3 linked regions of the Sus scrofa genome follow. The protein of the gene in region 1 purifies or fractionates together with the protein of each later gene. This does not show direct contact. Links are inferred from orthologs where the notes say so. Each region holds a gene or a part of one and is shown on either strand. Other genes may lie near its edges. The genes, in order: NUDCD3, KLHL9 and FKBP5.

Region 1 (3,000 bases):
AGGCGTTCCTCCCCTGGGTCCCCGAGGCTGCCCGCCGTGCCCTCCCTGCCAACACAGTGGGCTGGGAGCCACCTTCTGTTCCTTCTGACAGGGAGAAACGAAAACACGCACTGCCTGGGGGCCAGAAGGGCCTGCCCACCCCCGGCCTCTAGGCCGACAGAGCTGAGGGGACATCCTTGGTACTGGACGAGGCTGCGGGACTCCTGACAGGCGCCTCCTTTTCCCTGTTACTGAGCCTAAGTAAGTGCACGGCAGCAAACGTGTCAGAGACCCGCAGCGCGGAGCAGGGATTAACGGATGTCACTCCCGACCCAGCAGACAGCACATGACAGGACCTTGGACAGAGCACTCGGAGGGCTGGGCACTGCAGCCTCCACGGAGGAGGTGACCAGAGAGCCCAGGGCCCCACCGCCGTCCCGCCTCCCGTCCCCAGCAGAGTCACAAGGTGACACCTTGTCGCCCGGCAACAAGCTTCCTGGCCGCCCGCCGAGCCAGGCCTCCTCCTGCATCCCCTCCTCGAGCTCCCGCCCTCCGCCCCCTCTGAAGGCCCCCTTCTCGGTCTCTCACTCAGCCTGCGCTGAGCCCCGACCCATGACGACGTCCCCATGCACCAGCCTTGTCACAGGCGGCCGACAGGCCCGCACTCCAGCTTCACGGGGAGCCCTGGGCCCCTCACCGCCACCACCTCCTTTCTCAAGCGGCTCCTCCCTCCTCACAGCCCTCATCTGAAGCCACCAGCTGGTCCTGCTGACTCTCCAGCCCCAAGTCCCTTCCTCTCCTGGGGGTGCTTTCCTCCGGGGCCCACGGAGACCACCGACTCAACTGTGCATGGCTGCAAGGCCTTTAGCACTGGAAAGTCCAGCTGCCGCACCACCAGGCCACGCCAGCTCCACCAGGTCCTCAAGCCTCCACGCTTCTCTCAGCACCTGCTCCCCAGGCTGGGCTTCCCTCAAGGCCCAGGTGCTGAGGAAGGTGCACGTGGGACCCTGGGAGGCCAGGCCCCATCTGCAGATACTCCTCCCCGAATCCCTGCTAAGCCCGGTGAGTCCCAGGCAGCAGGGCTGGCACAGGGCCGTGCCCTCAGACCCCCGCCCACCTCCCTCACCAGGGCCCTGGACATCAGCCCTTGACTGTCTCCAGTGAGGGGCGGGGAGCTGGGGGCCCTGGCTGTCCAGGAGCAGGCCAGCTGGACGAAGGGTCATCCCTGGGTCCTGCCACCAGCCATGGGCTCTATGTGTCCGCCGAAGGTCTTCGCAGGGCACTGCACTCTGCCAGGCACTCTCACTGGCTCACGGTCGGCACACTGCCTGGGATGGGAAACGGCAAGTCCTTCCAGAATCTCTCTGGACTCAAACCGCAGAGGTCTTTCCACTAGACTGCAGCGTCCTCATGGCTCTTCTTCAGCTCCTTCTTGATCGGTCAGCCCCATTCCCGAGCTGCTTCCTACTTGGGCCTCACGGCCGGTGCTGCCCACGTTGGGGCAGAGACACCCCCCCTCCAGTGGCTGCACGAGCCCAGCTCCTGTCGGGCCAGTGTTCAGATGCTCCTTCATCCGGTGGCCAGAGGCAAACACAGTGAGACTGGACCAAAGCTGCCACTTCAATGTGCACACAGGGGAGCTGCACTTCAAGTCCTGGACCCTGCGAGCTCAGCAATTACACCAGACATCACTTTCCAAAGACGAGACCACTAACGTGCCTGTGACCCAAAGGTCACCCGGAGCCCCAGCCTCCGGCCCCATACGCCCCGGTGGGTCAGGGAGCCACACCGAGAAAAGATGCAGAGACTCAGGGAGAGAAGACAGACAGGCCTGAACCAGCGCAGGGGTCAAACGCCAGCCCTGCTGTCAGATCAGCTCTGGGACCTTGAACGTGCGCTGTGACCCTTAACCCTCGACCCTCCACTCGGGCTGCCATGGAGACTGTGTCCCAGGCAACCCCACCAAACCTGCGAGCAGTGAGCGCCCAGCGCACCCTCCACGGCCCCGCGGCCCCCGCAGGAGCAAGGTGGGCCGTGTGTGTCCAGGTCTGAATGAAAGGAGGACGGAGACAGACCCACAGGCACGTGGGCAGGAGCCTTGGCAGCCACAGGCCTGAAACACTCACCGTGCAGCCCCCAGGGGACAAACAGGACACCCAAGAACCCGAACGGCATTCAGCGGTCCTGGGGGGAGCGCTGTGTTTGACACATGAGCAGCCAAACCCTGGAGAGGGGCCGTGGCGCCCAGCAAGCCCCACGCCCGCCCTCCCCGGACGGGACACGTGCTTCACCTTGGCCTGTTCCCACCGCGCCGGACTTTCGACTCCCGGTGCTGTTCACGTGGGACACTGGGAGCTAAAAATAACCTGAGACACACAACCCTCTCTCCTCCAAACAGCCACTCGTGGGATTACTGAGACAGAAGGCAGCCTGCCACCTGATCCTGTTCTCTGCACTCACCTCCTCGGCCCCCGCGCCCGCCAGCCACACGCACGCTCAGGCCTCTGACGTCCAAGCGACTCGGAGGGACCTCCTCCCCATGGCCCCTTTGTGCTCGACCGCACACTGGCCCTGAGCACGCCGGGCCTGGCCGTCCTCCCTCTGCTGAGGGTCTTGGAGGGGCTCGGGGGATCTGCCTGGACGGCCCCAGCACTGAGCTAGGAACGACAGGGCCCCGATCCCGCGGCCAGGCCCCTTGCAGCTCTGCCACCCGGGCTCCCTGTCCAGCGGTGGAACCAGAGCCCCGGCCTAGGGGGAGACCAGGCCAGAGCTGCCCACGTGAGGGCCCAGGACGACCTGCGAAGGGTGGGCGCCCGTACCAGCTCGTGGCTCTGCGGCTTGCCCTGCAGCTTCTGGTGGTAGTCGAAGGTGAGCCTGTCCAGGACGGCGTGCTCCTCCTCGTCCACCGTGGCCATGGAGCGCTCCTTGTTGATCTTGTCGATGTCGATGCGCTCCTCGCCCTCCAGGATGGCGCTCCACCAGTACTCGCCCACCTTGTTCAGGCTCACCTGGCACACGGGG
Region 2 (4,190 bases), on another chromosome or scaffold:
TCAAAAACTCCATGAAAAAAGGGAGGTAGCTATTAAGACTTGGAGACGTTTTCTGCTTATTATTTTAGATTAGGGCAAGCAGCCTCCCTTTGATGTTTTGACATAAAAGATGAAAACTTAGCATCTTTGAAGCATAATAAACATAATTATATACACTTACTACCATCACCTAAACTTTGACTTACACAACACCACAAAAAGACATCTAACAAACACTGTTCTACTTATCTTTTTACATTTGCTAAAACAGCTATGTTGAATACATTTTTAAAATGCATTGTTAACCATTTGATAAACATACTAAGCCAAACAATACAAATTACATCAATTACCTCTTTAATCTAATAACTGTACCAATCACTGTAAGAAGATACAACTGAAGTGGAAGTATGGGATCATCCATGATGCACTGCAAAAGTATTACAGCTTGGTCCTAAGAATGATCTGAAGGTGCTGATAGAGGTGATTCTCTAGAAGGTGATCCAGGGTTTTCTTCAGGTGGAAAAACTGTGAGAGTACAAGCTCGAATGCCACCAAGTGATTCTGGAAGATCAAAAACTTTATGCCACTCATCCTTTTCTGGGTCGTATTTTTGGACAATTTCCACCATACAACGATTATTCCAAGAATATCCACCTACAACATAGATTTTATTTTCAAAGACGGCAACTCCAACATCACTCTGGCCTCTTAACATGGCAGCAATTGGTGTCCACTGGTCAAGGGTTGGTGAATAGTATTCACAGCTTAGAACATCATCATAATCACTTGTTCCTCTGAAGTGATTGCCACCAATGACATAGAGCTTATCTCCAACTGTACACATGCAGTGCAGACCTCTGACTGTAGTCATTGGAGCCTTCTGTGTCCATTTGTCCGTATCAGGGTCAAAACACATGAGCTCGTTTTGGAAAGTGTCATGAGTAATTCCTCCTGAAATATACATTAAGCCTCCATATACTGTTCCAGCATGGCCATAGTGGGGTTCATTCATTTTTGCAACATAGCTCCACTCATTCATTCTTGGATTGTAACATTCTACTGTGGCCAGTTCACCAGCTGCACTTCGCCCACCAACAGCATACAAATGCCCTTTCAGAGCACTTAAGTGGAAAAATGTGCGCTTTTCATTTAATGATGCAACCTGCATCCATTTATTATACCGGGGATCAAATCTGAAAACTGTATCAACAGCAGTTTTTCCTTTTGTATCATAATTACTTTGACCACCAACAACATAAAGAAAGTTTCCAATGACAGCAATGCCATGCTGGTAACGAGGAGCATCCATGGGGGCTAAAGACCTCCACTCTTGAGCTCTTTCATCATACATCCGTAATTCTTTACTGACAACCAGCTGCTGCCTCAAAACTCCTCCTAATGTAACCAAGTGGGTAGAGTCAGATCTAATGGCAGTTCTATCTGACTGCATCACTGGCTGCATATATGGCATCATTTGGTAATTGCTAGCTTCCAAAAGCAAATTCACACAAGTATTGTCTGTTCTCATGAAATCTACTGTCTGCACATAATTGATGAGATCCTGTGGTGTCATCAGTGGAAATCGAATGTTCTTCATTAATTTTGCAGCATAATCCATCCGAGGGTCTTCCAACCTTAGCCAGCGACACGCAGCCTTGAAAAGCTCAAGTTCAGTACAGTGCTTAAGACTGTTGCTGGAAAGCACAAAGGCAAGCCGTTCAAAAGGGAGTTTTAGAAACTCCCCAGTACTCAATAATGCAGGAAAATTCTTCAGGATGAAATTATTGACATATTTATCTACTTCTATAAGATTGTAGGTGTTAGCAATTCGTCCAACCTCAACACAGTTATCTAAAGAGACTCCTGAAATAAGAAACACTTTACAGAAGTCCAAAACAGGTAGAATTTGCAAAAAGCTGGCAGCTTCAAGTGTGTCCTGAAGATTGTCCATATTAAGAGAAAGTTTTGCAGTATAAATAAAATCAATTATTTTCTTCAGACCAACTTTGTTCACACCGTGAAGCTTAATGCACATTAAATCTTGTTCTTTCATTCCACCTGTGAACATAGCCTTGAAATAATCACTAGCAGACGCCATCATAGCTCGATGAACAGGGAAGATTTCATCTCCATCACCTGGTACCAGAGTCACATCACAAAGCAATCCTTCTATTCTAAGCTGATCAAAGCCTTGCAATACCACCGAACTGTGAGTATTGCTGGTAAAAAACCGTGTGGTTCCTGCCTTGCAAGGCTGTAAATGGGCAGAGACGCCCATTTCACCGTTACCAAGAGACACTTTCATGTGAAAGCCTTCCTGTTGCACAAAGATGTATGCCGGACAAGGAGGTTACGACCTGCAAGCTTTAAAGGAACCGAGGATGTCCCAAGAGCAAGAGAGCTCGCGTTCCTTATCAACAAGGGCAAACAATCGCCGTGGCGCCTCTCAGAACACACCAGTCATACACTGAATATTGTTCTGCAGCAGGACCACAAAGGGCTGTGGACCTCAAATCTGATTATTATGTAGATGATTCAACACCTGAAAGCAGTTAAGTGACCCGGTTCACCTCGTCCGGCCTGTGCTGCCGCTCCTCCTGCAGTTCCGCTGCCGGCAAAGGGGGGGGAGGTGCCGCCACGTCCTGCGGTTCCACGGCTCGCTCGGCGGCGAGGCCGGGCACCTCAGCGAGCAGCCCGCTTCGCCCTCCACTAACCCTGGTGCGTCGCCACGGCTACGGACCCGTCTTTGAGCAGGGGCCTGGAACAGCGGCCTGGGCCTGGGAAACGGGCCGAGCCCCGGGACGCGGAGCCGCTCCTTCCGGAAAGGCCTTGTCCCAGGATGCCCCGGGCTAGGAGCGGCCGTCGCAAATACTGCGGCTGCGCGGCTGCCTGACATTGTCAGTGGGCGGGAGTGTGGGGGATGAGAGGAAGGGCAAGGGGGACTGGAAGGGCGGGTTTTGTGCAAGTGGGGGGCTGTGCTGTGTGGGCAGGGGCGGGGCTTCTTCGGTTTACTTAGAGCGGCTAAAGAAGCCGGAGTGGGTACACGTTCATCGTGTTTGGTATAAATCTTTCAAAGCAGCTGAACGCTCCCCCTAAATGAACACTTTGGGATTTACACTTCCTGGCTTCTGCCTGTTGCATAACAATGAAATGCGGCTCTAGTAGAAACTGAAAGAAAACCTGATAAATGGTGGCAAACGGGGAAGATCTTAAAGTTCTTCCTCTATAAAAAAAATCTTTATGATTCTTACCCCACACAATTAATGAACACTTTAATTATAGCCTTGGTTCATATTTTCAGATTTAAATCATTTAAAACGTCACGTGCCTCTTTTTAAATAGCAAATTGTGACCACGCTATGTAAATAACAGTCTGAATTTTTGCCTCCCAATGGAATTCTATTATCAGTAAATTTTTCCTGCTCTTGTTTTCCAATCAGAAAATTTTAAATAGGAGTTCCCGTCGTGGCGCAGTGGTTAACGAATCCGACTAGGAACCATGAGGTTGCGGGTTCTGTCCCTGCCCTTGCTCAGTGGGTTAATGATCCGGCATTGCCGTGAGCTGTGGTGTAGGTTACAGACGCAGCTCGGATCCAGCGTTGCTGTGGCTCTGGTGTAGGCCATTGGCTACAGCTCCGATTCGACCCCTAGCCTGGGAACCTCCATATGCCGTGGGAGCGGCCCAAAGAAATAGCAAAAAGACAAAAAAAAGAAAATTTTAAATAGATAATCCAGTTGTGAGATAACTACACATACTATGGTTTACTTTACCCATCACCTGTTCCTAAATATATACCTTCTTGTCCTCCACTGTTTTATAGAATCTGGGCACAAAACTATGTTTGTTTTTGGATAAATCCAAAAAGCAGAATAATGATTGAAGACATATAAAATTTTTTTTTCCAAAATATCATCAGCAGTGTTTGAGTACACATTTCCCCTCTACTGATCTTTCCCTTTATGGATATTTTACTAACTTAACATTTTAAAAAATTGAAGGATAGTTGATGAATTTACATTTTTAAAATTACTAGAAATTGAGATTTGAGCATATTAATAAATGTATACTTTGACACACTGCTTCCAAAATTTTCCAGTTTGAAGTTATTACTGTCTTTTAAATCCTTTCACTTTATTCATGCATATGCAAATTGATGACTATATAGTCTTATATTACACTCTCCCTATTTTTATTTAAAAGATAGCAT
Region 3 (4,134 bases), on another chromosome or scaffold:
AAGAATAAAAATTACCTATAATTCTATCACCTAGAGATTATAGTAGGTTAAGTCTTTCTTGGGTGGGAGGGTTAAGAATTATAGTCATATGTTTGAGTTTCAGCTGAATCAGGTCAAGTCTCATCATGACAAATTATGAGATATAAATTACTTCGAGTACTTGAATTTTAGTGTCTCAAATACTACTGAAATATCCTTACTAACTTGTTAGCTACATATACACAAGGCCCTACTATAAATTATTTTAACCTGTCTCATTTGGCAGACCTGTCTTTTACACAATAAACAAACATCTTAGTCGCAAAAAAAAAAAAAAAAAAAAAAAAAATCGCACTTCAGTGGCTATTGCTTTTAAGTCAATAATCATGTGATGTACCTACCAATGGCCGCCTAATCTCTGATGAATGTACATTTAATGTCCCTTACACTTTTGGGGACATAATTTCAGTAGTTAAAAAACACTGTAAAAAAAAAATTCAGAATGTAAAATGAAAAAAATCTAATTTCTAATCAGCTAGGTTAAAAGTTCAAATAGTTTCAGAATTATAAAATGTATAGAACATGTAACTGTTCAGCATAAAATAATTACAAATTTAGTGTGCCAAATTATGTAACTATAGGCTTTTATTAGGAATTGTGAAAAATTACATTAAAGGCCTACAGAGACTATTAATGAGAGATACAGCAAGCATATTACTGTTAAATAAAACAGTATTAATATCTGAATTGTGAGATTTATCCTCAAGTTTAGTTGGTTTAATGTGTTCCGGTTTTTTTGTGGCTTTACTCGTTAAAAAATATTTTCCCAGCCTCAAACTCAAAGGGAGCCACACCTGAGGGTTAATGACAAAAACATTCCCAATGTAAACTGTGTAGATGCGATAATTCAACTTATGCTTAAATTTGAAACTGTAATGTGGCTGATAATTTTATGATATGGTCTACCACAAGTTAAAGTAAACAAAGTTAAAGGGGACAAAAATCAGCAATTAAAGTGTGTAAAAACTGAATCTGAAAGCAATCTTTTAATTAAAAGTCACTTTTATAGTTAAAGTTCCCAAAATATGCTTTTGTGTAAATGAAACTATGAAATGTAGCTTTATGATATGTGGTATATTTAAGCATCATCACAGGACAAAGATTTTATAACTAATTACACACAGTAGTTAAACTAATATTCCCATACACTTTAAAGAACAATTAATTACATAAATCGCTCAGAACCATGAGAGCCCGGGTCTCATAAAAGTCTTCAAGTCTATTTATATAGAATCAAATCCACTCTGGACAAGTCACTGTTCAACCATTCAACCTTCACTAAGCATCAAAAAGGCAACTCAGCTTTCAATAGAAATTACTTCTACACCTATATATACAAGGATGGTCTTCCTTTCCTAGACCGATTCGTTCTAAGCTAAGAAGCCTTGAGGAAACTAAACAACCTATTCAATCCAAGAAAAAACAGAAAATTGAAGATTTCATTAGTTGTCTAATCTAATATTTTAAAATAGTCACGTTGAACTGATTAAAATTGTTTTAAAAAAGAAATTCACCCCAAATTCCCATCCCTAAAAAATTAAAGATTCAGAAACATACTTGTTTTGTTAAATGTTTGAAAGACAAGGACCTCTCAGCATATAAGCCTGTTGTTCTAAAGAAATAAAACATTTTATAAAGACCACTTTGTTTTGCTTTTTTTTTTAATCCCCAATAGTCACAATTAGCTTATTGGTTAGAGTTCACCTTTAAAAGGTGTCACTAATTATCTAAATAACTAAAATTACTATTCAACGAAACACTAATAAAGTAGCATACTAAATCAGAAGTATAACTTTATCACTAAGTTAAACTTACATCTAAGTATAAACCATACCTAGCACAGACATCAAAAAGACATATTAGCAAAGAAAATCTAAATCAACTGTTTATCCAATACGTCATTAGTAACCTTCATAACATATTTTTAAGTAATTACTACATATTATTTTAAAACTTTTTTTTCCCTATAGGTGCCCTAAATTGGTCAGGGCCATAACTGCAGAGTGTTAAGCAGAGGTCAGATGGGAGAGGCAGAAACAGAAAATGTTAAGTATGACAAACAAAAACGTCCCACAAGAATAAGTTTTCACATCCATCTTTGAATTTGGACTCAAACGCCCAAGAGGAAAAGTTACTCTAATTCTCTGGAGACCTCTTCTGAGGGGCAGGGGTGGAACGGTGGGGGAAGGAGAATTCCCAGAGACAATTAAAAACACTCAACCAAAATATGCCTTAACTTTGCCCTGGTCCGCAATCTAACAAAATGGGAAGACAATGAACATAAACACTCCTGTGTGCCCTCAGAAAAGCAAAGAAAGCTCCCATTCAATGCTCAGCCTTATTCCACTCCTGTAAAGTAAATCCAAAACCACGAGCTCAAACTGCTTCATGCAGAATTTACTGAATGGCGGCCAAAGGCTGTACACGCTGTCCTGAACCACACAGAGGGATATCTAGAGTTCTGCATTCTCCATTTACAACTTGTACCTTACCATGCTTTCGCCACCGCTGCAGAAGCCCATTTTCAAACTGAGACTACGACGTTCCTCCCCGCCCGTCCGTGTGAAGCAGGTTCTCTCCCGGCGGGAGAGAAACTTCGCCTTCGCTCTCCCGGCCCCCGCCCAGTTTTTAAAAAATTGAACTAGTTTGACTCCTCTACTGCAACCAGCACCCCTTTTTAGAAGTCATTAAGGGTAGATGCGTTCTAACGCCCCGGAGTGAATTGAATACGGAGCCCTAAAACTCCTCAATGGCCTTCACCTGGCACTAAAATAATCACCTGTTCAAACTGAGCGGCCCTGGCACCCTCTAAGCGCGGCCGAGAGCGGGAATGCTGTTCCAGTCACCAGTCCCGGGTCTGCAGGTGAAGGCGGCGAACACACATCCACACCCACCGCCCGGGGAGCGCAAACCGAAAGCCAGGACCGCGGCGGCCGGACGCTCCGTTATCCTCGCCCTGCGCGGGCCCCGCCAGGTGAGCGAGGCTCCATCGTGCCCGCGGCGTCCCGACGCTCGGCTCACCCCAGCTCCACTTCTCCCGCCGCCCGGGCCCGGAAGGCGAAGTTTCTCTCCCGCCCGCGGCGGCTACTGCTCACGCGCCGCCCGGCCCTCCCGCCAGTCCCGCCGCCTGCTCCGGCCGGCCGCAGTCACCGGCGCCGGGCCTCGGACGAGCCGGAGCCCGGGACCTGTCACCCCGGGCGGGAAACAAAAGCCGGGTGAGGACCAGCGGGCGCCACCGGCCTCGCCTCCGCGAGGGGGAGCGCGGCGGGGGCGGGGAGCGGCTCTCGCGGCCGCCCGGCTCCGCGCCTCCAGGAGGGAACCCCGGCCCCGCGGCCTGGCGGGACGCAAAGGAGCCCCGCGGCGGGCTGGGGACCTCCGGCGCGTCCGCCTCGAGGCTTCCCCGGCCCCTCTCTCCCCGACGCGCCGTTCCCGGACTGGGGAGCCGCATGAGGAGGCGGGGAGGCGGAGCGGGAAGGCGGCGGGACCGCAAAGGAGGAATTCGGCTCCCGGAGCTCCACGACCACCCGCCCCATCCTTGCGGCCATGGCGCCGGTACCTGTCGCCGGGGTTGCTCTACTGCTCTGTCTCTCCCCGCCTCACCCGCACGCAGCTGTCCCCTCAGCCCGCCCAGCAGGCCGCCCGCGCGCCGGACGCCGCCGCCTCCAGAGACTGGCAGCGCCTGCGAACCGGCCCGAATCCCCCGGGCAGCGCCCGGCGCCGTCCCGCCCCCGCCGGCCGTAGGACCCGCCTTCCATAGGGCCCCGGGGCCGTCAGTCCGCCCCCAAAAGGCGCGCGGGCTGTCGCTCTGCCTGTTCGGATTGGCGGCCTCGCGCTGTCCATGCAAATAAGGCCCCGCCCCCGTCCATTTGCACCTCCGCCTTGGTGTAACCTCCGCCTCTCCACGCCAGCCCACGTGTCTGGCCCTTGCCCTTTGTGGGGGCTGGAGGCAAGGGATGAAGGAAACTGACCCACACCCCCTCACACCGTTCCTTGCCTCCAGGGAAATTAATGCCTAAATAAGCTTGTTGACTTAACAACGGGGTCTCTCCCTGAAAACTCTGTCCCCCTTCCTGCCCACCCAACCTGCCCCGTGGA

The links.
Region 2: the proteins of NUDCD3 (region 1) and KLHL9 purify together in Homo sapiens (co-immunoprecipitation; 3 studies listed by BioGRID and IntAct, with this or other methods). This does not show direct contact. The link is inferred for Sus scrofa from reciprocal best matches to the Homo sapiens genes NUDCD3 and KLHL9.
Region 3: the proteins of NUDCD3 (region 1) and FKBP5 purify together in Homo sapiens (affinity purification with mass spectrometry; 3 studies listed by BioGRID and IntAct, with this or other methods). This does not show direct contact. The link is inferred for Sus scrofa from reciprocal best matches to the Homo sapiens genes NUDCD3 and FKBP5.

The regions. Positions count from the first base shown.
Region 1 is NC_010460.4:50,825,110-50,828,109, reverse strand, and holds part of NUDCD3 (nudC domain-containing protein 3), read right to left. Parts: intron 2,988-3,000; coding exon 2,799-2,987; intron 1-2,798.
Region 2 is NC_010443.5:201,588,983-201,593,172, forward strand, and holds the start of KLHL9 (kelch-like protein 9), read right to left. Parts: upstream 2,849-4,190; 5' UTR 2,288-2,848; coding exon 434-2,287; 3' UTR 1-433.
Region 3 is NC_010449.5:31,546,906-31,551,039, forward strand, and holds the start of FKBP5 (FK506 binding protein 5), read right to left. Parts: upstream 2,926-4,134; 5' UTR 2,819-2,925; intron 1-2,818. UniProt on the Homo sapiens protein: Immunophilin protein with PPIase and co-chaperone activities. Component of unligated steroid receptors heterocomplexes through interaction with heat-shock protein 90 (HSP90).